Notamacropus eugenii: one gene and its partner. The main gene of each other region encodes a partner of the protein of the gene in region 2 in a complex. Links are inferred from orthologs where the notes say so. Each region holds a gene or a part of one and is shown on either strand. Other genes may lie near its edges.

Region 1 (11,135 bases), on a different chromosome or scaffold from region 2:
AGGAGATTTGAAATGGATCGAGAGTCTCAGTATGCTCGATACTGTGCTGAGTGCAACAAGATGCATCCTGCTGAGGAAGGTGACTTCTGGGCAGAGTCAAGCATGTTGGGCCTCAAGATCACTTATTTTGCCATGATGGATGGAAAAGTATATGACATCACAGGTATACTCCAACCCTGCCTCAGGATAGGTTAGAATGTCGGTAACAGACACCATACACAAGAATAAAGTCTAAATGCATACATGATCTAGGTATAAAGATTGATACTATAAACAAATTAGGGGAGGAAGGAATAGTATATTTGTCAGATTTGTGGAGAATGGAGAAATTTATGATCAAACAAGAGATAGAGAACATTATGAAGTGCAAAATGGGTAATTTTTATTACATTAAATTGGAAAGTTTTGCACAAACAAACCCAATGCAACCAAGATTAGGAGGGAAGCAGAAAACTGGGAAAGAATTTTTGCAACTAGTGTCTGTGATAAATGCCTCATTTGTAAAATACAGAGAACTGAATCAAATGCACTATACAAGTCATTCCCCAGTTGATAAATGGTCAAAGGATATGAACAGGCAGTTTTCAGAGGAAGAAATTGAAGCTATCTATAGTTATATGAAAAAACGCTCTAAATCACTATTGATTAGAGAGATATAAATCAAAACAATTCTGAGGTACCACATCACACCTGTCAGATTGGCTAACATGACAAAACAGGAAGATGATAAATGTTGGAGAAGATGTGGGAGAGTTGAAATACTAATTCATTGTTGGTGGGGCTGTGAGCTGATCCACCCAACCTGGAGAGCAGTTTGGAACTATGCCCAAAGGGCCACAAAAATCTGCATACCCTTTGATCCAGCAATATCACTTTTAGGACTGTATCCCCAAGAGATCATAGAAATGGGAAAGGGTCCTACATGTACAAAAATATTTATAGCAACTCTCCGTGTAGTGGCCAAAAACTGAAAATCAAGGGGATGCCCATCAATTGGGGAATGGCTGAACAAGTTGTGGTACATGAATGTAATGGAATACTATTACTATAAGAAATAATGAACAGGACTTCAGAGAGGCCTGGAAGGACTTATATGAACTGATGCTGAATGAAAGGAGCAGAACCAGGAGAACTTTGTACACAGTAACAACCACAGTGTGTAAGGAATTTTTCTGGTAGACTTAGCCCTTTACAGCAATGCAAGGACCTAAAATATTCCGAATGGACTCTTGAGGCAAAACGCTTTCCACATCCAGAGAAAGAACTGTGGAATTGGATTGCAGAATGAAGCAGAATATTTTCTCTTGTGTTATGTTTTGTTTTTTTCTCATGGTTTCTCCCATTCATTTTAATTTTTCTCTGCAACATGACTAAGGTGAGAATGTGTTTAATAAGAATGTATGTGTAGAACCCATATAAGATTGCATGCCATCTTAGGGAGGAATGGGGAAGGGAGAGTGAGAAAATCTAAGACTTATGGAAGTGATTGTAGAAAACTGAAAACAAATTAATAAATAGAAAAAAAGAATGGGTAACAGAAGGGCCAGAATGTTTAGTTGTCTGTGATGCTGGATAATGTGGAAGCTATATAGTCTTAGGAGGGCCACTAGGGGGTGCAGTGGATTGAGTGTCAGGCCTGGATTTAGGAAGACTCATCTTTGTGAGTTCAAATCTAGCCTCAGACACTAGCTGTGTGACTCTGCTCAAGTCACTTAACCCTGTTTGCCTATTTTTTCATCTGGAAAATGAGCTGGAAAAGGAAATGGCAAACCACTCCAGTATTTCTGTCAAGAAAACTCCAAATGGGGTCAAGAAGAGTCAGACACACCTGAAACAACTGAACAAGTCTTAGGAAGGGCCTGGACATATAGTTACATAGAATGGAGTTTGGATATTCACTTGGGTTGAGTTGTACTGTTTTATCTGCCTCCCTCTTGTTTGCAGAATGGGCTGGGTGCCAGCGTGTGGGGATTTCCCCTGATACCCACAGAGTCCCCTATCACATCTCATTTGGGTCCCGGTTTCCTGGTCCTGGTGGGCGGCAGAGGTAGGTAGTGTTTTTTTCCCTGCCTGTTGTTTCAGAGAACTGGTTATACAGAACAGTTTAGTATCCCAGTGTATCCTGGCCAATGACTTGGTACTTTTACTTAATAAGTAAAACATCTGTGTATCTTTAGGAATGTTCATCTCCTCATCACAATATTTGTTTTACTGCAGAGTCACTCCAGATGCCCCCCCAGCTTCAGTTGCTGACCTTCAGGATTTCTTCAGCCGGATCTTTCAGGTTCCCCCAGGCCAGATGCCCAATGGAAATTTCTTTGCAGCTTCTCAGCCTGGCCCTGGGGCCACCCCACCCTCCAGGCCAGACAGTTCCACCACATCCAAAGGTTCAGAAGCCAAACCGAAGCGGCGGAAAAAAGTGAGGAGGCCCTTCCAGCGCTGATGCCCTGTCTCTTCCTCTTCTCTACCCTCCTCAGCTCAGTGTCAGGGAATCATAAGGGCTGTGTACAGCATAGGATGGAACTTGTTTTGTTTTTTAAAAAATTTTCAATATTCAAAAAGTTTCAAGCATTACCTGTTCACTCAGTGACTTGTGGGAAGCCACTGAATCCCCACTCTGGGAACTAAGAACTGAATCTTGTTTGATGACAATACCAAAGAAATAGTGGGGTGGTTGGCAGGAAGGGCCCTGTGCCTAGACCATGGCTAGGATTGGGACTGATGAGTATTTTGTGTGGGACAGAGCTCTCTAGGGTTTGGGGGGGGGCTCTTATATTGTCCCTCCTTCCGAAGGCCAGGGTGGTACTCATTCTGTTGTTAACTTGGACCTTTGTTTCTGGGCCTTCTCCTCTATCATCCATGTGAGGAGGCAAGTGGCCCTTATATTCAGGGGTGGGTAAAAGCCCAGGACCATTCAGGGAATGGAAATGCTGCCTCTTTCTGTTCTATGGTTCCTACCTAACCTCAGGGTTGTTTCTGCAAGGATGGCTGATTTGACAATTTTTTTTTAAAGCAGACTCAAGTCCCCACGCCCTTGGTGGGTAGGAGGCAAAAAAGCAAGTTTGGTGATGGTGGTGGTGGGGTTGTCCCCAGCTATCCCTATGTAATCAAAAGGTTTTTTTTTAAGTTTGTTCATATTTGTATGTACATATCTATTTAAAGCCAGGGGATTTACCTTTCTATAAATATAACTGGCAAGCTATGCCTACCTCTTTTGTGTGCCCACTTGCCCTGACCCTATTTTCTACATGATAAGAGTTACTAATCTCTGATGATTGCTCTTGGTTGAGTGGGGACAAGAAACAGTTTCAGGGAGGCATGGGATATGATAATAATCAGAAAGAGGTTTATTTTCAATTTAAGATTGGGAAGAATGTAGTCTTTTCGCCCTCCTTCACCTCCCACAAAGTTCTGCTGACTACCCTAGATTTACATCTGAAAAATAGCTTTTATTATATAGCAGTGATGTAGATAGTTGGAAAAGATAAACTATAGCACCAGCCAGGAGAGTGGGCCCAGCCCTTACCCATATTTCTTGATTCTAAGGAACCTGCCCTTACTTGTACAGGGGAGTCATCCTACCCCCAAATTCATCTCCCTGGAGTTGGCAAAAAAAGATCAGTTGATCCTCAGGTCTTCAGCTGCTAAAGGGAAGGAGGATAGAGCAGCTCTTTGTTCCTTGTCCTTCCCTAGCCTGTACCTAAGTGATCATTGCCAGGTGTTAGTACTTATTGATGCCAAAGAGACGGACACCATGGAACTGGGGTAACTTAGGCAGTAGTACACTGAGCAGTGAAGCTGTATTGATGACAAAGTGAGCAGCATCATATTTGGTGTAGAAGCTGGCCAGGAGGTAGCTGGGGAGAGAAAGAAGAACATGATGAAAAAGAGGGACCTTTCCCTGACCTCTTTTTGTTCTTTCTACCATCTTCCCCTAAGTCAGTTTTGTTATTTCCTTAAATGACAGCTCTATCTCACTATTGCCACATGAACAGCATTTCTCTTGAATGGGAAGTAGTTTATAGATTCTATAGATTTATAGACAGTTTATAGCAAAATGTGTTGATCAATGGAAAATGAAAGAAGGGTCAAGCTACAGTACTGCAAATGTCCCCTTGTCTCTGACATTACCCTCTTCCTTTTAAATCAATTATACTTTCATTTGTTGTACACTTGAACAAAGTCTTGCACCACAGAATCTAGGTGAGGATTTCTTTGAAGTTTTCCCAGATGCTCCTATCCCCATTACCACCACAGGGAGGCAGCAAGCCTATTCGTGGCTTTCATACTTTGGATTTCATAATTGGTGAACTGAACACCCTCTATCCTCCTAGCATGGTTAGATCATAGTTTTTCAGTGAGTTTACAGAGATTCTACCCCTTGTGGTGGTACCTTCCACTTAACTGATGTCCCCTTGGGGGGCCTTTGCAACACCTACTCTACCTAGCTTCTCCCTCACCCTCCTGGAACTCACAGCACAATGGGAAAAATACTGAGGAACTTTCTGGAGGAGGTGAACTGGAGCCCATAGTCCATCTGCTCCCAGTGTGTAAGGAGCCGGGCCTTGCCTTGGTCGGGGGTCTCAAAGGGTGTCCCCTTCACAGTGTGCAGAAAGACGTACATGGCCTGGGAGGGGGTGAGAAGGTAGAAGAAATCCTTTTCAGCTATGGATTTGAGGCAGGTGGGCAAATCCCCAAAGAATTCAAGTCTGGATAAGAGAAAATGAATTTAGGCTGGAGGCTCACCAGGTTATGGATGACGTTGGTCAAGGTCCAGACCACTGGGATGCTGAAGAAGGGGATGCTGAGTAGAACCACATGTAGAAGCCCTACTAGGATGATGTAGGCTAGCCAGATGCCTCGGCTGTTCATCACCCTTGTGTTGGGGTTCACCTCGCTGTGGGCCACCCCCACGTTCATCCTGCCACAATAGTGAGTCAGGAGCTGGACTCACCGGGGTTCTCTTTCCTTTGGTCTGCCTCCCTCGGTTACCGGTTTGGTGACTGCAATGAACCTTGAACTTGGGGGGAGGAGGAGGGGAAGGCGCTCCTCTGGTATACTGAGGCCTGAGAGATAAAAAGCTTTCTGGGATGAGGGGAATCTAACTTTAGCCTGAAGGGAACAGCGGGGGAAGGGGCCGTAGTTGGAGGCGAAAAGGGGGCATGGAGCACTTCCTTTCTATAGAGGGGAATTTGGGGCAGTCCTCTCGTCTTCCGGGGGTGGGCAGGAGAATCAGATCAGGTGAGTCCAAGGGGAGGTGCTCAGGAGGTAGACGTGCTCGGGAACGATACCTCTCCCCTCCCATTCTCTGTCCGGGGCTGCCATGGACGACAACCTCGGCGGGGGGAGCTGCCATTGGCCTTTCTGGAAAATGTAGGAAGCTGCGGGAGCACGTTGTGGGCCTTCCGCCGCCCGGGGTGGGGGCAGGCAGAGCAGGCGCTCCGGGAACCGCCCCCCGCCCCCCCCCCGAGGCGCACTACGAAGGGGCGTTCAAATCTCCTTCCTCCAGACGAGCCGGCAGCCCACGGCCGAACCCAGCCGATCCCCGAGTCCCAGTGACCCTTGGGCTGTAGCCCGGGGCCCCATCCCTGCCCCTCAAAGCTCGCCGTCACGGCCTGTCTCCGCTCCTCTCGGAGTCATCCCCTCACTCCCAAATCCCCTCACCTGGAGGCTCCAAGGGCCACTCCGCCAGACGCAAGTTCGGCTACTTTACCTAGTCCACCTGTTGTGTCCTGGAAGCGGCCGTGCCCTCGAACTGTCCCCATTGGCCCTCCACGCCCGGCGCTGCCGTGGCTCATTGGCCACCCGTTTCGATGTTCTGTGTTTCGTTAGTCAGCGGGCCTGTCACTCTGGTGGGAGGGAACCAACCCTTCTCCAATCCCCTTCTCCGGCAGACCGTCGCGTGGGGGAGGACCCATGCTGGCGGCCGACGAATGAAAAAAGCTGATGGTAAAGAGTGGGAGTATAAACAACGGCTATTGGGTGGTGGTGATCCTCGGAGTCTCGGCGGGAGCTCCAGAAGGCGGAGGCAGGAGAGGGGGGCAAACTGGGGGAGGAGGGGGTGACAAGATGGCGGCGGAGACGGTGGAGCTCCACAAGCTGAAGGTACCGTGAGGGGCAGAGGCCCGGGCATGGCTGGGGGCCGAGCTCTACGAGGTGACCGGCGCCTCCCTCCCCTCATTTCTCCCTCCGGGGCTCCCCTCACTGTCGTCCCGGTCCTCTCCCTGTTAGGCTGGTCTCTGGGGCCTTCTTCCTCTCCTCTCGTGCTGCCCCCCCCTCTCGTTCCTTCCCCCTGCCATCTTTTCTCTCCGTTCGGGGTGCCCCTCTCCTTACCGCTTCTCCCTCCCCCCTTTCTGCCGAGAATGTGTGTTTGCCTCTCCCCTTGCGAGGAGGCAGGAGAGGTAGCAGCACGTCATACCCCCCTCGCCTCTGTCCCCTTCCTCTCTGCCCCCGACCCCCTTTCCTTCCCCAGGTCTCCTCTCCATTCCGAGTCTAGGAGTCCCCAGCAAGCTGGGGTAGCGGCACCCACGTGCGTTTGTGTGTCTGTCCAGCTCGCCCGGACGACTCAGGGACGCCCCAGTTCCTTCCTCAGAGGTGTTATGGTACCTGAGTCCAGCCTAGAAGCCTGGGAGAGCCCGGGAATGGGGACCACCGGCATCCCCTCCCCGCACCTCAGGCACTCGATGGCACTGGGGTCACCTCAGAAGAAGAGGGAGGTTTTTTTTTTCTTTTGCAAGATAAGGAAGGGAGCTGGGGAAGCTTTTTGAAAAACAAACTCAGTTTTCCCTATTATCCTCCACCTCCTTTTGTGTCATCCTCTGGGAAATATAGGATGGTTGACAAAGATTTTAGTATTATTTACTTGGGGAGAAGAATTAACCTCCTATAGGTAAAAGAGATATATTGGTTGATTTTAGGTGTTCGTTCAGAATTTGGCAAACAGTCCCCCTGTCAGGTAGTGATTATTCACTTCCTTTTGGGAAACAAGCTAAAAACCGATTTCCTTTATTATATAATACATTAAGTGCTCTATAAGATTTGCAACCTGGCTTGTTGATGCTGACAATCTAAAGCATATCTAATAGGAAAAAATAGTTTATGATTTCTTGGATATACTCTTGAGATAGGCACTACTAAAACATGCTTAGCCCTAGCAGCATGGACTTTTATTTTCTTGGATTCTGCTTGGCTTAACCGATTTTATTCTTATGGTATCATTTGTTGAGAGTGTAAGGTTGAATTATAAGCTTTCCATTTCCATGGCATGTCAGTTTTGCTTTTTTCTTTTCCTGGACTGATGCCGGCCATCAGAGTCTACTGTAAAAGAACATAGAGAAGGAGTAGGAGAGGAGCCTGTCCATATGCCACAGAAATTCTTAACTTTTTTAGTGTCATTGACACCATTAGCAGTCTGGTGAAGCCTGTAATCCTGTTCTTAGAATAATGTATTTAAATGCATAAAATAAAATGCATAAGATGTAACCAATTATTTTGAAGTTCAGTTATTTAAATATTTTTAGAAGTAAGTTCACAGACCCCAGGTTAAGAACCCCTGCTCTAGAAACAACTGAGTCTTCTTTTCCCTCATGAAATGCTATTTCTCACCTCTCACAGCATCTAAAGGAGTTTGGCGTAGTTGTTACTTATATTGAAAGAATCTTCCCTTGTTATTTGCTGTATGGGAGGGCTTCTTAATCATGGGGGATGTTGGCAGATTTCAGAGGGTCCATGAACTTGGATGGGGAAAAATGTTGTTTCACTGAACTTTCACTGGAATTTAGCATTTCCTTCAATTATATAAAAACACTGTGAGGAGTCTATAAGCTTCACCAGACTGCCAGAGGTATCAGTGACAGAAAATAAGGTTAAGAACTCCTGCTTTGGAGCTTAACATTTTAATTTTTCTAGCTTACATGTGAATGTAAAATTTTCTTGAGAAATAAGATGTTTAGTTTGGGTGACATTAGCTTACTTTAATTGAGCTTTTAGAGATAATTAGAAAAGAATGCTCAGAAGTCCACCTTTTACTTAATTTTAATGAAAAAGACAAGGTATGGACTGAAATAACCACACTGGTTAAAAGGATATGCAGATTTGTCATATTTGCTTTCAAATTTTCTTTTTTGTCTGTGAACAGAAGTCCTTAAATAAAGACCTTTGAGGACTGGAGGCCTTCTGTTTCAGTAAAGTGTGCACTAATGAGATTTCCTAGCCCTGGGATCAATTCCTGCCACTGACACCTACTAGCTATGTGACCTTGGCCAAGTCACGTATCCTCCCTGGGCTTCAGTTTTCTTTTCTGTAAAATGAGGGGGCTAGAATACATGCCTTCTCAGGTCCCTTCCAGTTCTAGCACTATAATCTCTTGATTTCTATTCTCTTGAAATGATTATTCATTTTTGACCCTATCTATACTATTGACTTTAAATTTGTGAAAAATGTAAAGAAATGCAACCACCACAAAATACAAACTGGCCAGGGAGAAAGCTAAATGGTAGAGAACAATGTTTGTTAAAATACAGGGATGGGGACTGGATCTGTGATTTCATTGTTATATTGGTTTTCCATTAATTCTAGCAGCTTCTTGGCTTGTCTTTCATAATGTCTTGACTACAGTCACAACTCCTGGATGAGGAAACTCCCTCTACTAATGCAGGTTGGCATCTTCTCTGAAACTTGTAGTCTTAGAGAGTTGCTTAGGGAAGTGAAGTGACTTGCCCAGGATCACACAGCCAGTATGTTTCAGAGGCAGGACTTGACCTCAGGTTTTCCTGGGATAAGCTTGTGTGTCAAGTGCCACACAGACCACTATAGGAATAGTGGTAAAGCCAAACTATATCGTGGGAATTCATTTAAGTAGTGAATACATTGACTGTCCTTTTGCGGATAGTGTGGTATTGTGGCACAGTGGAAAGAGCATTGATTCTAGAGTCAGACTTGGGTTCATATCCTACCTTTGATGCTTCCCACCTGTGTCACTTTAGGCATGAATTATTTAATCTCCTTGGGCTTCAGTTTCCTCCTCTGTAAAATGAGGGTGTTGAACTTAGATGGCTCTGGGGTCCCTTCCAGCTCTGTATCTATGACTTTTAAGTTCTTTATTTGCTCTCTGCCCTTTTTCATAGATCTATATTTTAAGAGCTACTTTTGACAGTCACTTGAGCAACTATGGATTGCTTGTTATGTAGTAACACTATAAATGTTATGGAAGAAAACAAAATTATAAGTCAAGGTAAGGTACCTGTCTTTGAAATATAATATAGTTGATAGAGATAAATATACACATATGAAATTACTTAAACAGAATTTTCATTTTAGGCTGCTATATTTTAAAGAGACATGGACAATAATATTAGCTTATGTGTCTATATAGTACTTCATGGCTTATATCCTCAACAATGTTGTGAGATAGGTAGTGTTAAGTGTTATTATTTCCATTTTATAGATGAAGAAACTGAAGTGCATGTTAATGGACTTGCCTGTGGTTGTACAACTAGTTAATGTCAGATCCAGGATATGAATTCTGTTCCGACTTCAAGTCAAGTGTTCTTTTTCCTTACTCCACACCATCTCTCAAATTAGAGCATGTCTATAGTTAGATTGTCTGGAATGGTGAAAGGTCTGGAATCCGTGTCATGTAAGGATTGCTTAAAGGAACTAAGTATGTTTAATTCAGGGAAGGGAAGACTTGGGTATGTGATAGGTGTTGTCAGTTTTTTTTAATTTTTAAAAGTTTTGTTTCTGTTTTTCTCTATTGTGTTCATACCACAATTTTTTCCTCTTAAGTTCCTCTACCCGCTCCCCCCCCATTGATTTCCTATAACAAAAAAACAAAAACAAGTAAGTACAGCTGTGGTATGTATCGCATTCCACATCAATAGTCTCCATCTTAATATTGAGGGGAGGAAGGTATGTTTCTATATTAGTTCTTTGAGTGAGAGATTGTTCATTACAGTTCATAGTTCAACTACTTTTTACTATTATTTTCCTTTACGTTAATACTCATTGTGCATATGATTTATGTAGTTATGTTTTCTTCACTCTGAATCAGGTCATACAAGTTCTCTTGATTTCTTGATATTTTCATTTCTGTCATTTCTTTCTGCACAATTTTTCATTATGACAATTTTTCATTATGTTCACATATTACCATGTGTCCAGCCATTCCTCAGTCAAGGGAAGCCCTTTTTGTTTGCATTTTATTGCTAATAATAGCTAGCATTTTATTAATGCTTTAAGGTTTGCCAAGTACTTTATCTATTTGATATCTTATTTAAGCCTCACTATGGCCCTGTAGGGTAGGTGCTATTATTATCCCCATTTTACGGATGAGGAAACTGGCTGAGGGAGGCTAAGTCGATTGCCCAGGGTTATACAGCCAGTAAATGCCTGAGGCAGTATTCCAGCTACTAAGTCTGTCTGCTCTACCACCTAGCAGCTTCCCAAAGAGACGCTACAAAGAATGCTGCCATGTTTGTTACATGGAGGTCCTTTGGTCACTGATTGCCTTGGTGGTATTTGTCCAGTAATAATGTAGTATATGAACACTTCGTGTTGATATTTAGGATGGTTAGACTAGTTCACAGTACCACCAACAGTGCACCAGTGTTCTCTGTCTTACCAAAGCTCTTCCATCATTTACTCTTTTTGTAGGTGTGAGGTGAAACCTTTGGAGTTTTAATTTGTATTTTTCTTACTTATTAATTGATTTAGAGCAGTTTTTCATCTGGTGCTTGATAGTTTGCTTTTCCTCTCAATCTTGTTTTTCCACACCCTTTGTTGTGGGTATGTTCATAGCCATTTATCTTTTGAGGAATGGCTCTTCAAATATTAAGTGGGTTGCTATTTTTTTTTGTCACCCTATGCAAGTTTTTTAAACTTTCTGTGTCATTATTTTTGATAATCTGGTGAAATCTGTGGACTCCTCAGACTAATAATTTTTATATGCATAAATTAAAATATGTAGGATTATAAAGGAAAACCAATTAACCAAAATTCACAGACTGGTTCCTCCCTACTTTTACCCTCTTTAGAACCCTTGCTTTGGTTGCCAGATCTAGAACCAGTGAGAAGCTTCATGGAAGCAGGTGTCTGTTCAACATAAGGAAAAATTTCTCAACAATTAAAGCCATTCA
Region 2 (10,776 bases):
GATTTGATAAGCATGAAAAATTATAAGCGCTTGAAATTTCATAAATTCATGACCCCACATCTATTTTCTTAATAGGTATCATTATTAAACATTTTTTAGTACAAAACAAGCAACTAACCTTAAATGTTTCCATCTTTAAGTCAATACAATTACTGACTACCTTTTGGAACAAGTCTGTACTAGGTAGGTATGAAGATCCCTCCCTTCCAAAGGGAACCTGTGGGATTGCAAAAGGTAGCACTTCTCAAGAGAGAAAAATGTCCTCTCACAAATGAGATCAGGTGTAGCCTTGAGGAAAACCAGAGGCCCAGTAAATGTCTTTTCATTCTGTAAAATCACCAATATTAACACACACAAACCCTTGCTTTAAGTTACCTTCAATAGTAGTTACCTTTGAGCTCCTAGTCATGAGAAAATAAGCTGGTGATAATCCTATCAATCTGTATTTTAACACGTTGTTTAACTGTTCTAAAAATTTCCCAGTGCGACATGAACAAATGTGAATATAAATTCTCTTTCTGAACAATGAAGTAGGCTTTAACACACTGTATACCCTATTATAAGATGAGCCATGATTATAATGGTCTGCCTATACTTCCCACCCCTTTTTAACCACAGGTCAGGGATCCACAAGACACAAATTACAACCATACAGGGCTGTTTTTTTTTTTTTTTTATTTTTTTTTTTACAACAAAAGCCCTAGTTTTTTCCTGCTATCACTACTGGTCCCTAAACATTTATAGTGACAATGCATCAATTAATACTCTATTTAAGTTTCCGGAGGCAAACTTTCCATACAGACTTCACTAATAATTTTTTAGAAATACCTAGAATCTTATCTCTAGGAACTTGCCCTCATTTTGAACTCTCTGAAGAAGCTAGCGGTACCTACCATCATTTTTTTTAAATGAAAAAATACTTTAGCTACTCTGTGGTAGCTGAAGCTGAAAGCTTTGTTTATTTTTGGCCAGTGAGTCTAGTGGTTCAGAGTGTGTGTTATATTTAACTAGAGCTAAGCACAGCCATGCAAGTGCTCCCATTTAAAGTCCTTACAGTTGCATGGCACCGGCCTCCAGACTGCCAGCCACAGCTTGGACATATCCTTCCACAGCCACTCTCCGGACTTGCATACACAGTCTATGAATAATAAAGAGCAGGTTTTACTTCAGACCTAGGTGGAAATATGGATTGTGCCTTACTGGAAATTTAGGCTGAAAACCATAGTCTTCTCTAATCATATATTCAGACTTCTTGTTTTTGTCTAGATATACCAGTTACATTGGGAGTGGCTTCCTTCATTAGCTTTAAAATCACTTTGTTTCCCAAGTTACTTAGCATTGTCAATACAAATAAATTAAGACTATTCAGAATTTCTGGGGTGGTGGGAGAAGAGATAAAAAGCCTATTTTCCTAGCTTTTAAGTCATTTAACAATACCACAACAATGAGAATAAAGAGGAGATATGAGATGCCAAGAAACTTGATTAGATTTCTTGAGGAAGTCCCAAAAAATAGAAAATTACAACACACTAGTACCTACAACATGATCCAGGCCACACTAAATTGCCAGCCCCCAAAGAGAAAGGCAGCTAGTTACTTATTTGTACTTATCAACCAAAATAAAATGCTCTTTAACTCCTTTTTCCCTCCAGAAAATCCTCAGCTCTTACCCTGAGGCACCTTGTAATAATCCACCATATCCTGTACAGCCATCAGTAGGGCTGCCTGACAGGCATCACCAGCTGCCTCTGGAGGATTATGACCTACTCTCTCACCTGCTTAAGTTTCAATGCTGCCTGGACAGAGGGTCTATTCTCCATCTGCTGGGCCAGTCTTCTGTTTCTGGCACTGGCTAGCTGCTGTTGCTGCTGCATCGTAGCCCGAATATTCACTGGCATCGGCTGTTTGTTCTTCAGCATATTAGTAAAGCTTCAAGGTCGAACAAAATGGGTGTTTAAATAAAAGCTTTATTACAAAACATTTATTGGCATTTTCATGGCTCTCTAGACCAGGAGCTCCAGATCCCACGAACTTTATGTAAAGTGGTACGCTTAGGTCAAGGCTGATGTGGGTCAAGGACTCCTCTGTTTCCACAAACGTGCAAGAATCAGAAACTTAGAAATGCAGGTAAGTGCAGTACATTCATTCAAAAGTGATAACAAGGGCTTAGGTTACTGCGTTTAGAAAAGTGGAAGGAATGAAAAACATGAAATAAGCAGATATGGTGATGACAGGAAAACAGAAGATGTTACAAAGAATCAGAAGAAGACAAAAACAAATACTCTGGGGTGGGGTAAATCAGATAAGTAATTTTAGAGGCAATTGGTCTGAAGTGCACCTTATGGGTGAATGTGGACCGATTATAGTACCCTCTAAAGTCCATGGAAATGATGCCATCATATCAACAGAGGAGTGTATCAAATTTTCCCATTGTCTCTGTCAATCTAGTTACATGTAAAATACAGTCATTTTATAATCTCATCACATGCCATGAACTAAGACAGAAACTAGGGCAAATGGTGAAAATTTTTAGAGGAGAGTCCCAGCACCTATGATTTTATCAGTGCAGGAAATTCCCTTTACCAACACAGAACAGCACTTACTCTGAAACTCAGGATCACGACGATCTCAGGGCCAAATGTATTCCAACTGCCTCATTTTATAGAAGAGGAACTGGGGCCCAGATAGGATAATTAGTAATTTGTTAAAGGTCACACAGTTACTAAGATTTTTAGGTGAGACTCCACTGAGGTCTGACTTTAAGTCAGGCTCCCTAAACAAACACCTCTCATCTGAGAATTCTGGGAGGTTAGGTGACCTAAGGTCACAGTCAGTGGCTCCTTGAACCCAGGCTTTCCTGACTCAAATGGCTTATCTATCCACACCCAGAGGAGCCTTCATGTTGAACATTTTTTGGCCTGGACTTAATGATTCCACTGGTATAGAGAGCTATCAGTAATGAGGCTCCCTCTACCAAGGCAGGTTTACCCCTGCCTTAACTTAAAGAAAAAAATCTTAAGAGAGCTGCCCAGGGCACTGAAATTAAATTACTTGCTCAAAGTTATAGAGCCAGAATGTCAGAGGCAAGACCTGAATTTGGATCTTTTCAACCCAAAAGTGTATTCTCTATCTACTACGTAATGCTTGCCTCTCATGGTGAATATTAATCTTAACAGTTTAAAAAAGAAACACCTCCCCACTAGTTTGCTCTGTCCCATACTGTAATTTACCTTCCATTTAATTAAAGGAACCCCATAAAAAATTTTAACAGAAATCTTTATGGTGTTATATTTTAACAGCTTTACTTTCCTGGGCTTAAAATGGCTTCCCTCCTAATTACCCCAAGTGAATCTTCTTGAAAAAGTCATGCATTAGCGCAACAACTTAGGTTAAGAATGTGATGACACTCCAATGAGTCTCATCTATGAAAGGTCAATATGAACAGGAAAGAACATTTAACAGAAAAAGAAGTAAAAACAAAGCCTAAAGCAGTACTGAAAGATGCAGAGTTGAAGCAAAGAGGGTGCCTCTTACAAGGCCCAAGAACAGCATTCAAGAGCCTTTGGGCTGAGTTTTGGCCTGCTACCTGCCTCTTACAGGCCGGACCACAATCATGTCGGCCTTGGACTGGGCAGCAAGCCTCCTACGGCCAGGGTAACATGCTACTGTGCTGCAGCATCCCCTATATCAATGTAAAAAACATGAAGAAAAAGGGAGGGTGTGAAGTGCTTGAGTTTAAAACACATCCCACCAGGTTAACGGTTCAAATAATTTAACGTACACAGCTACCGATAACGTGTTCTGTAACATTGCCCACTCTGTTTCGCGTACCACAGTATGAGGCGACTTAAGAACAGAGGTCGTTAGCCTTCTGTTGATATTTAAGTTAGCTTTAACTTAAACACTGGGCAGAAACCAAGATGGTTTGAGAACATCGGACCCCGGGGCCAACTTAAGTAAAGCTTCCTTAGGGAGGAGCTGAAGTTTCTGGTGGCTGCCTCACCGCTCATTTAGAGACATCTTGGTGGTGCTCTTTAGCACAACTTTCGGAGCTGACTGTGCAGCCATCTTCAGATCCCGGGAATCTGCAAAGGATAACGGGCGGTTTAAACACAACGGTAAGGATGCCACCCCAGGGGGCCGACACAAGCAGCCGCTGGGAGAGGGACAACGGCCTCGCTAACAGAAGCGGCCGTCCGAGAGAGCGGCGCGACGACACAAAGCGGGGCCCGCAGTGAACAAGGGGGGCCGCCCCGCCGAGAATCCGGGATGGGGGTGCCAGGAGGCCAGCAGCTCATCAAGGAGGGCCCCTCACTGACGGGCACCGATCGGGAGGCGGTGGCAGGACCCTTCCACAACTGCCCCCGAAAGCTTCCATCCCGGCCTTCCTCAGATCGCCTCCGCGGAGCCCTGGGACCCCCAAACCAACTAACACTGCGTACCCAAGCATACATGGCACCCCGACTTCTCTCTCAAACTTGGCGGCCTAAACCTTCCACCGGCCTTTTCTCTCCTCCGTCTCTCCCCCGCTCCCAGCCCCCAGGGTCCCCTTCTCTGGGGCTCCTCGCCCCACCCCCCGTCATTCTTCGGGTGCTGCTCCCCAGCCATGGGGCCCCCAAACGCTCTCCTCCTCCGCCCTCCGTCCTCACCCTCTAGCTCCCTCGGTCGTTCCGCGGCCACGCGAGCTCGTCTTCCCCCCCCCCCCCGCCCCCGCCCATCGCTCGCCTCCCGCAGCGCTTTCTAGTCACGTGACAGGCGCCCCCCGCCCCCCCTTTGGTCGTTCCCTTCTCCCCACCTTACCCCTTCCTCTTCAAGCCCCCCATCCAAGGTTTTTCTTCAGCCCCCCTCCCCCGCCCCAGGCCCCAGGCCCGGCCGCGCACGCGCGCACGCACCAAAGGACACGGACGCCAGCGCTCCGCCGGGGGCCGCCGCTGCCACTGCGGTTGCGGTTGTGGGGCCGGAGACCGGCCGCGCTGGGCTTGTCTGGGGCGGCTGGAGGTGCTGGGCCGAGACCGAGGGTGGTTAGCCGCTTGCGTGACGGGCTGGCTGTTGGGTCCTCGTCCTTTCAGGCCGCCCTCTCGCCCGCTACCGCAACCCACTCCCACTCGGCGACCCGAACAAAATGGCCGCCACGCTTGGAGTGGAATGGCGGTGGCCAAAATGGCGGCGGCGCGTGGACGTTGGTGTGAGACGCGCGCTCGTCGCGAGGGGCGGGGCTGTCGTAGGCCCGGCCCCCGGCGTGGTTGCTAACACGTGTTTCCGGGGGGGAGGAGGGGGGCGGTGACTACCTGGTGCTTTTGTAGACCCAGCGGGCATTTACACTGTACACCCTGGTCTTGTGCCCATCCGACCCTGAAATCCCGGGCTCTGTCAGGTGCCCGCTCCCGGTGCCCCCAGGGTGAGAACAGGTGGCAGCGGTAGACCCGGGTCCTTCCCTCCCCGCCCAGGCTCAGCCCTGTTTTCGCCGCTCACTTGTCCGGGCTGTAACCAGGAGCAGACCGAGGTTTAATCCCAAGCTGCCGTTTATGCTTCCCCGTTTAACCTGTGGCTAATTAGGCACCGCTTTCACTGTGCAGTGACAGTTGGGCTGTAGAAGAGGTCGGGTCTTAACCTGGGCTTCAGAAACTGTTTTAAAAATATTTTGACAATCATTTCAGTGTAAATGGCTGCTTTTGTAATTGTACGCGTTTTGTGCACTTAAACAAGAATTCCGAGAGGGTCGGCCATCTTCACCAGTCAATCGATAAACATTAAGTGCTTGGCGCCAGACTGCCAGATGTAACCAAACAGTTCACAAAGAGAGCTCCTGGATGAAAAACGTTTTAAAAGTCTCAATTCTTGATCTTATTATCCTAAATGATTTTTGGACCTCTATCCCTTCTTAGGGTACAGCTTTACCTTATTAACAACTCAACCTTGATTACATCCTGATGAAGTGGAGGGAGACTCAGGTGATTGATCAGCCCTCTTTACCTGTCTTAGAATCTTAGTCCTTTTCGGAAAGAGGGTTCCTCCCCTTCTCACCTTTCAAAGGGGAAAATGAGGCACACTATACAAGTCTACCCTCCTCCTCCATCGGTCTGGAACCCAAAATATCCAATCTCCAGGGATTTTCAGAAGAGTCATGACCCCTTCCAATAACTGCCCTCAGGCAGAGTTAGCCCTTCTTCTTCACTAACCCCCAAAGGAGACAGACACCACAACTGTTGGGAGAGGAGCCTTTAATGCATAATGGAGCAGTGATCCACAAATGCTATGGTCCAGCCTGGGACAGTAAACTGGGGGAGGCTGAGGGCAGAGAGAGGGCTATGTGGGAGGTGAAGGTGGAAATGGGGGGATGGATGGGGGGAGAGATGGAACAGGGTTATTGGTGCTGGCCAGGGCTGAACTGCTTGCTCAACTGTTCTCCCAGAAGAAGTTGTTGCAGGCCACAGTGAGTGCAGCCACCAAAACCACATACTCCTGGAAGTCAACTTCACCGTCCCCATTCTCATCCAGCTCCTTCATCACCTTGTCCACTGCATCTGTATCCTTCTGAGTCTAGAACAAGGGAGAAGGGGGTTTCTGTGATGGAGGGCCAGGAAGACTTTAGGGGGCATGAAGAATTGGGACAGAATGGGAGGAGCAACTGACTTGAGCCAGACTATGGAAGATGACTGGGATGGACATGGAAAAAACTGGGAGTGAAAAGGACCAGGCAAGTGTATTGAAATTTGAGGGCAAGGGACAGGGAGATGTAGGAGAAGGTGAGAGGGGTGTGAGTGGGATGGGAAGGGAAAGCTGGACTGGACTGGAACTTGGACTACTTTGTATCTTTCTTCATGTTTTTAATGGATCCCCCAGTCAACTTAAAGAGTATGAGCTCCTTCAGAAGTGGGCAGTGGGATTCATCTTTAGGTTCTCCAATGCCTGTCACAGTGTTTTGCATATAACTGGCCCTTAATAAATGTTTGTTGAATTGATTTAAATTGAGAGAGTCTAAGAGGCCTTTGAGGGATACAGGAAGGAACTGAGATGGGGTTTGGGAACATGATAGAAGGGAAATGTAGAAGCTGCTTCCCATGCAGTTGGAGTCTTCCTGTAGCTGGCCCTCAGGCCAGGAGCCCCAGGGTACTCCTCCACCTCACCCAAGCAGTCACCAAACACTCACATCCAGGAAGCCAGAAAGCTCTGCCTGCAGTAGTTCCTTCAGTTCCTTCTTGCTCAGTTTATACTTGTCACCTTCCTTGCCAGAGTGGGCGTGGAATACATTGATGAGGGATTCCATGGCAGTCTCCAGCTCCGAGCCCATGGCTGCAACACACCTACCTACCCCCACCCCCCCACCAGGCCAGAGCAGGGTGAGGTTGAGATAGGGAATAGGGATCAGGGCCCAGGGCTGCTGGAAAGAAGAGAGCCCTGGGCTCCTAAAGTCCTTATATTATAATGCATATATAGATGATTTGGACTCCATCCTTCATGATGTGGATTCCATCCTCTAGGACTATATTCAACATTGTTAATTATTTTTTAAATTAATATTTTACATACTCATCATTCTTAGCAGAAACCAAAAGAACTGATTAATTCAGCCCTTTTTTTTTTTTAAAGCATCATAAGCCTCAGACCTGTAAGGGACCTTAGGGATGAATTCCAATTCTCTAATTTTATAGATGACTGTAAACTGGGATAACGATGAGAAAAACTGAGGACTAGCAAGGAGAAATGACTTGCCCAAGATCATATATTTGGTTAGTGCAGAACTGCAACTACAGCCCAGATTTCCCTGGCTTCTTTCTAGCACACTATGCTGCCTCTCCCCATGGTCTAAAAACAGAACTAAAAGTTCAGAGAAAAGGGAGGAAGTTGAAGGTTCAAGGCTAAGGAAGGAAAGAGACGGGGCTAGAGGTGGGGATAGAGTGGGGAATAGGGCGGATGTTGAAGGATAGGATCTGAGGGACCTCTGAAGAGGGGGGCATTATGGGTACATTAGATTGAGGGGTAGAAACAGGGAACACTGGGCAGCATCAGGGAGCAGGAGGAATTCAGCAGTGGATGGACAAAAAGGACATGTTGCTCACTGGGCAGCTGCCCATGGGAATGAGGGTGGGTCTTAGGAACGGACAAGTCTTTCTCAGGTGCTATTTTTATCACAGGCCTAGTGTGTTCTGCCTAGGCTTAGGTGTCTGTTCTGCAACTATCCCTGCCTCTCCATACTGAGAATGAAGGGGGGTAGGGATGAAGGACCACTTATGCAGTGTCACACTCATGCTTCTTCCTAATTTCTTATATTTGATGCCCCTAAATTCTCTCTCTGCCCAGGGGTTCTCAACCCCCTACTCACATCCCTTTGACTCCTCTAGCATGCTCCCTACTTTTAGTTCCTTTGCCCCTTGCCCCTGCCTTCTATACTTTAGAATCTGTCAGACTGAAGTCTGTCTTGAGAACCAACTCTTTCTCATCAGACCTGGATGGTGGGAATGGAGAATGGAATGTTTGATCCTTATCTCCCAGAGCTGGGCTCCAGGGTGTGGTGGAGGTGGGGAAACTAAAAGGTTCCAAGTACAATCTCCTCTTCCCCACCAGCAGCTTGAACTTGAGAAGGGGACGAGTGGCAGTGTAGTTGGGGTGATCAGAAATGACAGGGGAGTTGTATACCTGAGGTTCCATCTGAGGCAAGGTGCAAGAAATTAGAGGGGAGGAAGGAGGATGAGGTGTGAGGTTATAGTGGGCTATGACATTGGAGAGGGGCTTCAAAGCCCAGACACTCCTCAGCTCTAGGAGTAAACAGCACCACTTCCCCCTTCTTCTCCCCTTCCCTCCCCCCACTCCATCCTCAGACGGGATCTCAGGTGTCCTAGATCAGGTATCTCTCACCTCTTTCTCCAGGACTGGGGGGATGGACAATGGGTCCTCTCGGATGACACTCTAGCTCCTCAATGGATCCCTTGTGTCACCTGAACTTCGGACATGAGAGATGGTTGTCACAGAGACCAAGCAGGGGGGAGGATGTGTGGAATGGGAACCTGAAGCTTGGGTCTGATGGGGGGATAAGGGGAAGGGGGGCTGCCATCTCCTGTTACCAGCCCCATCACTGATCACTGATGTGGAGGTTCTGAGGGGCTAAGGGAACCTTGAGTTTTCCCCCACAAACATGCCTATGGACCCTTTGGAAAGCCTTAGAGAGTACAGTGTGATATGTAGTATCTCTGAAAGGTGTCAGCTCAGAGACTTTGTTAAGGGTACAGCTGAAAAATGCCAGAGGGAGGAGGGGAAGAAGTAAGGAAGTTAGGAAAGAAAGAGAAGAAAAAGAAGTCAGTGGGTTACTGAGTAGAGAAGGAGGTGAATGGGACTCCCTTCCTAGAATCCCCCACCCCCCACCTTGGTGCCCACTCATAGAAACTTTTCATCTATTGTGTTTGTATGTTATTGGGGGTTTAAACTTGGGAATAGGCTCAGGCCCGGGGTAAAGGAATTGTTCTACTTTGTAATCTTAACCTCTCCCCCACCCCAGGGCCCTTGGGGGTTGAAGAAAGCTTGGATTTGGGGACAGTTGCCTAGTCAAAACTTATCTGTCTCCTACTTGGCTCATGCTAGGGCATGAGCAAAGCAGAGTAAAGGCCTAGGGCCCAGATGTTTCAATCCTTCACCCTCAAACCCAAGAGAGAGATGAACTGGGGTCTAGGAAGCCCCAAAGATGGAGAGGGGAATCTTGGGGGTTCCTCAGCTGGAAAGGATCATTCTATGAGGAATGGGTTGTATTGCTTTTGGAGAGAAGAGAAATCTGTCCTCCCATCCCACCATTTAAGTCCTCAGGTAACTGCGTCCTCCCTCCGTGGATGGACCCTTCAGATCCTTCACTGGGCCCCAAAGTCCCCTATCTCTCACTGATAGTCCCCTTTATCTGAGCAACATTCCCAGACTCTTGGAGACCACCATCCCCTCTGTAGTTAGCACACCCTCTGGATCCGAGAAAGCAGAATACTCACGGGTGGGTTCCGGGCTGAAGGGCGAACAGATGAGAGGGACGAAGCTACGTGTCCTGTGACCAGAGCCGGTGTGGGGAGCTCTCACTTCAGACGTCCTTCTCCCCACTCTGGACACCCCCTCCTACCTTTAGCTCCACCCCCTCATCGGGCTGACCGCCCGTGGGGCAAACAGCCAGCTAGCAGACAGAAGCGCCCTCTGTCTCCAGGGTCGGGACAAGCTGGCCCTGTTTTACCTCCTCCCCCAGGTCAGAGTTTTGGTTTTGTTTTTTTTAAAATTCCTTTCCCCACATGTATGCTAGCAATCCACGGGGGTTCTTAGTTGATCTTGATGCCAGCTCAACCCTGGCACAGAACAGAGAGGGCAAGGAAGGATAAAGTAGAGGGGAGAGAGAGAGAGGTAAGATCAGAGACCGCAAGATGCTGAAGTCTTCTGGTCCTTGGACCGCCCTGTAACTGTCCATTGCGGCAAGGCATGGTCATTATGCCTTATGAGCAGAAAAAGAAGGGGACTCCTCCAATAGAGTCTCTCAGATCGGGACCTCATCTCCAGATACTACCTTCTTTGCTCTTAATTTCATCAACAGCCAGCTGGGATGCACGAATTAGGACTTTTTGAGGGGCTGGGTGGGGGAGATAAGAGGGAGATGGGAAGTGAGCGGGAGGGATTTAAAGGACGAGCTGAATGGAGGTCAGAGGCACATACTTGGGGGCTAAGATGCTAGGGCTGGAAGGGTGGTTGAGACCGGGAAAGTGAGGTTTGACATTTGTTTGCTTCAGGGCAGGGTTAAAGCGGGTAAGGTGGTAGTGC

The links. The genes of interacting proteins can lie anywhere in the genome.
Region 1: CHTOP (region 2) and SARNP share a complex: the UniProt entries of both Homo sapiens proteins name them as parts of the transcription/export (TREX) complex. The link is inferred for Notamacropus eugenii from reciprocal best matches to the Homo sapiens genes CHTOP and SARNP.

What each region holds. Positions count from the first base shown.
Region 1 is NC_092874.1:231,064,126-231,075,260, reverse strand, and holds the start of SARNP (SAP domain-containing ribonucleoprotein), read left to right. Parts: upstream 1-5,937; 5' UTR 5,938-5,946; coding exon 5,947-6,105; intron 6,106-8,582; exon of another isoform or gene 8,583-8,629; coding exon of another isoform or gene 8,630-8,656; intron 8,657-11,135. Other genes in the region: ORMDL2 (ORM1-like protein 2), read right to left, coding at 3,722-3,857, 4,476-4,627, 4,747-4,921, 5,665-5,798. UniProt on the Homo sapiens protein: Binds both single-stranded and double-stranded DNA with higher affinity for the single-stranded form. Specifically binds to scaffold/matrix attachment region DNA. Also binds single-stranded RNA. Enhances RNA unwinding activity of DDX39A.
Region 2 is NC_092873.1:377,595,684-377,606,459, reverse strand, and holds the start of CHTOP (chromatin target of PRMT1 protein), read right to left. Parts: upstream 5,163-10,776; 5' UTR 4,893-5,162; intron 4,771-4,892; exon of another isoform or gene 4,650-4,770; intron 4,086-4,649; 5' UTR 4,069-4,085; coding exon 4,004-4,068; intron 1,930-4,003; coding exon 1,776-1,929; intron 1,139-1,775; coding exon 1,055-1,138; intron 1-1,054. Other genes in the region: S100A1 (protein S100-A1), read right to left, coding at 6,397-6,540, 7,151-7,291. UniProt on the Homo sapiens protein: Plays an important role in the ligand-dependent activation of estrogen receptor target genes. May play a role in the silencing of fetal globin genes.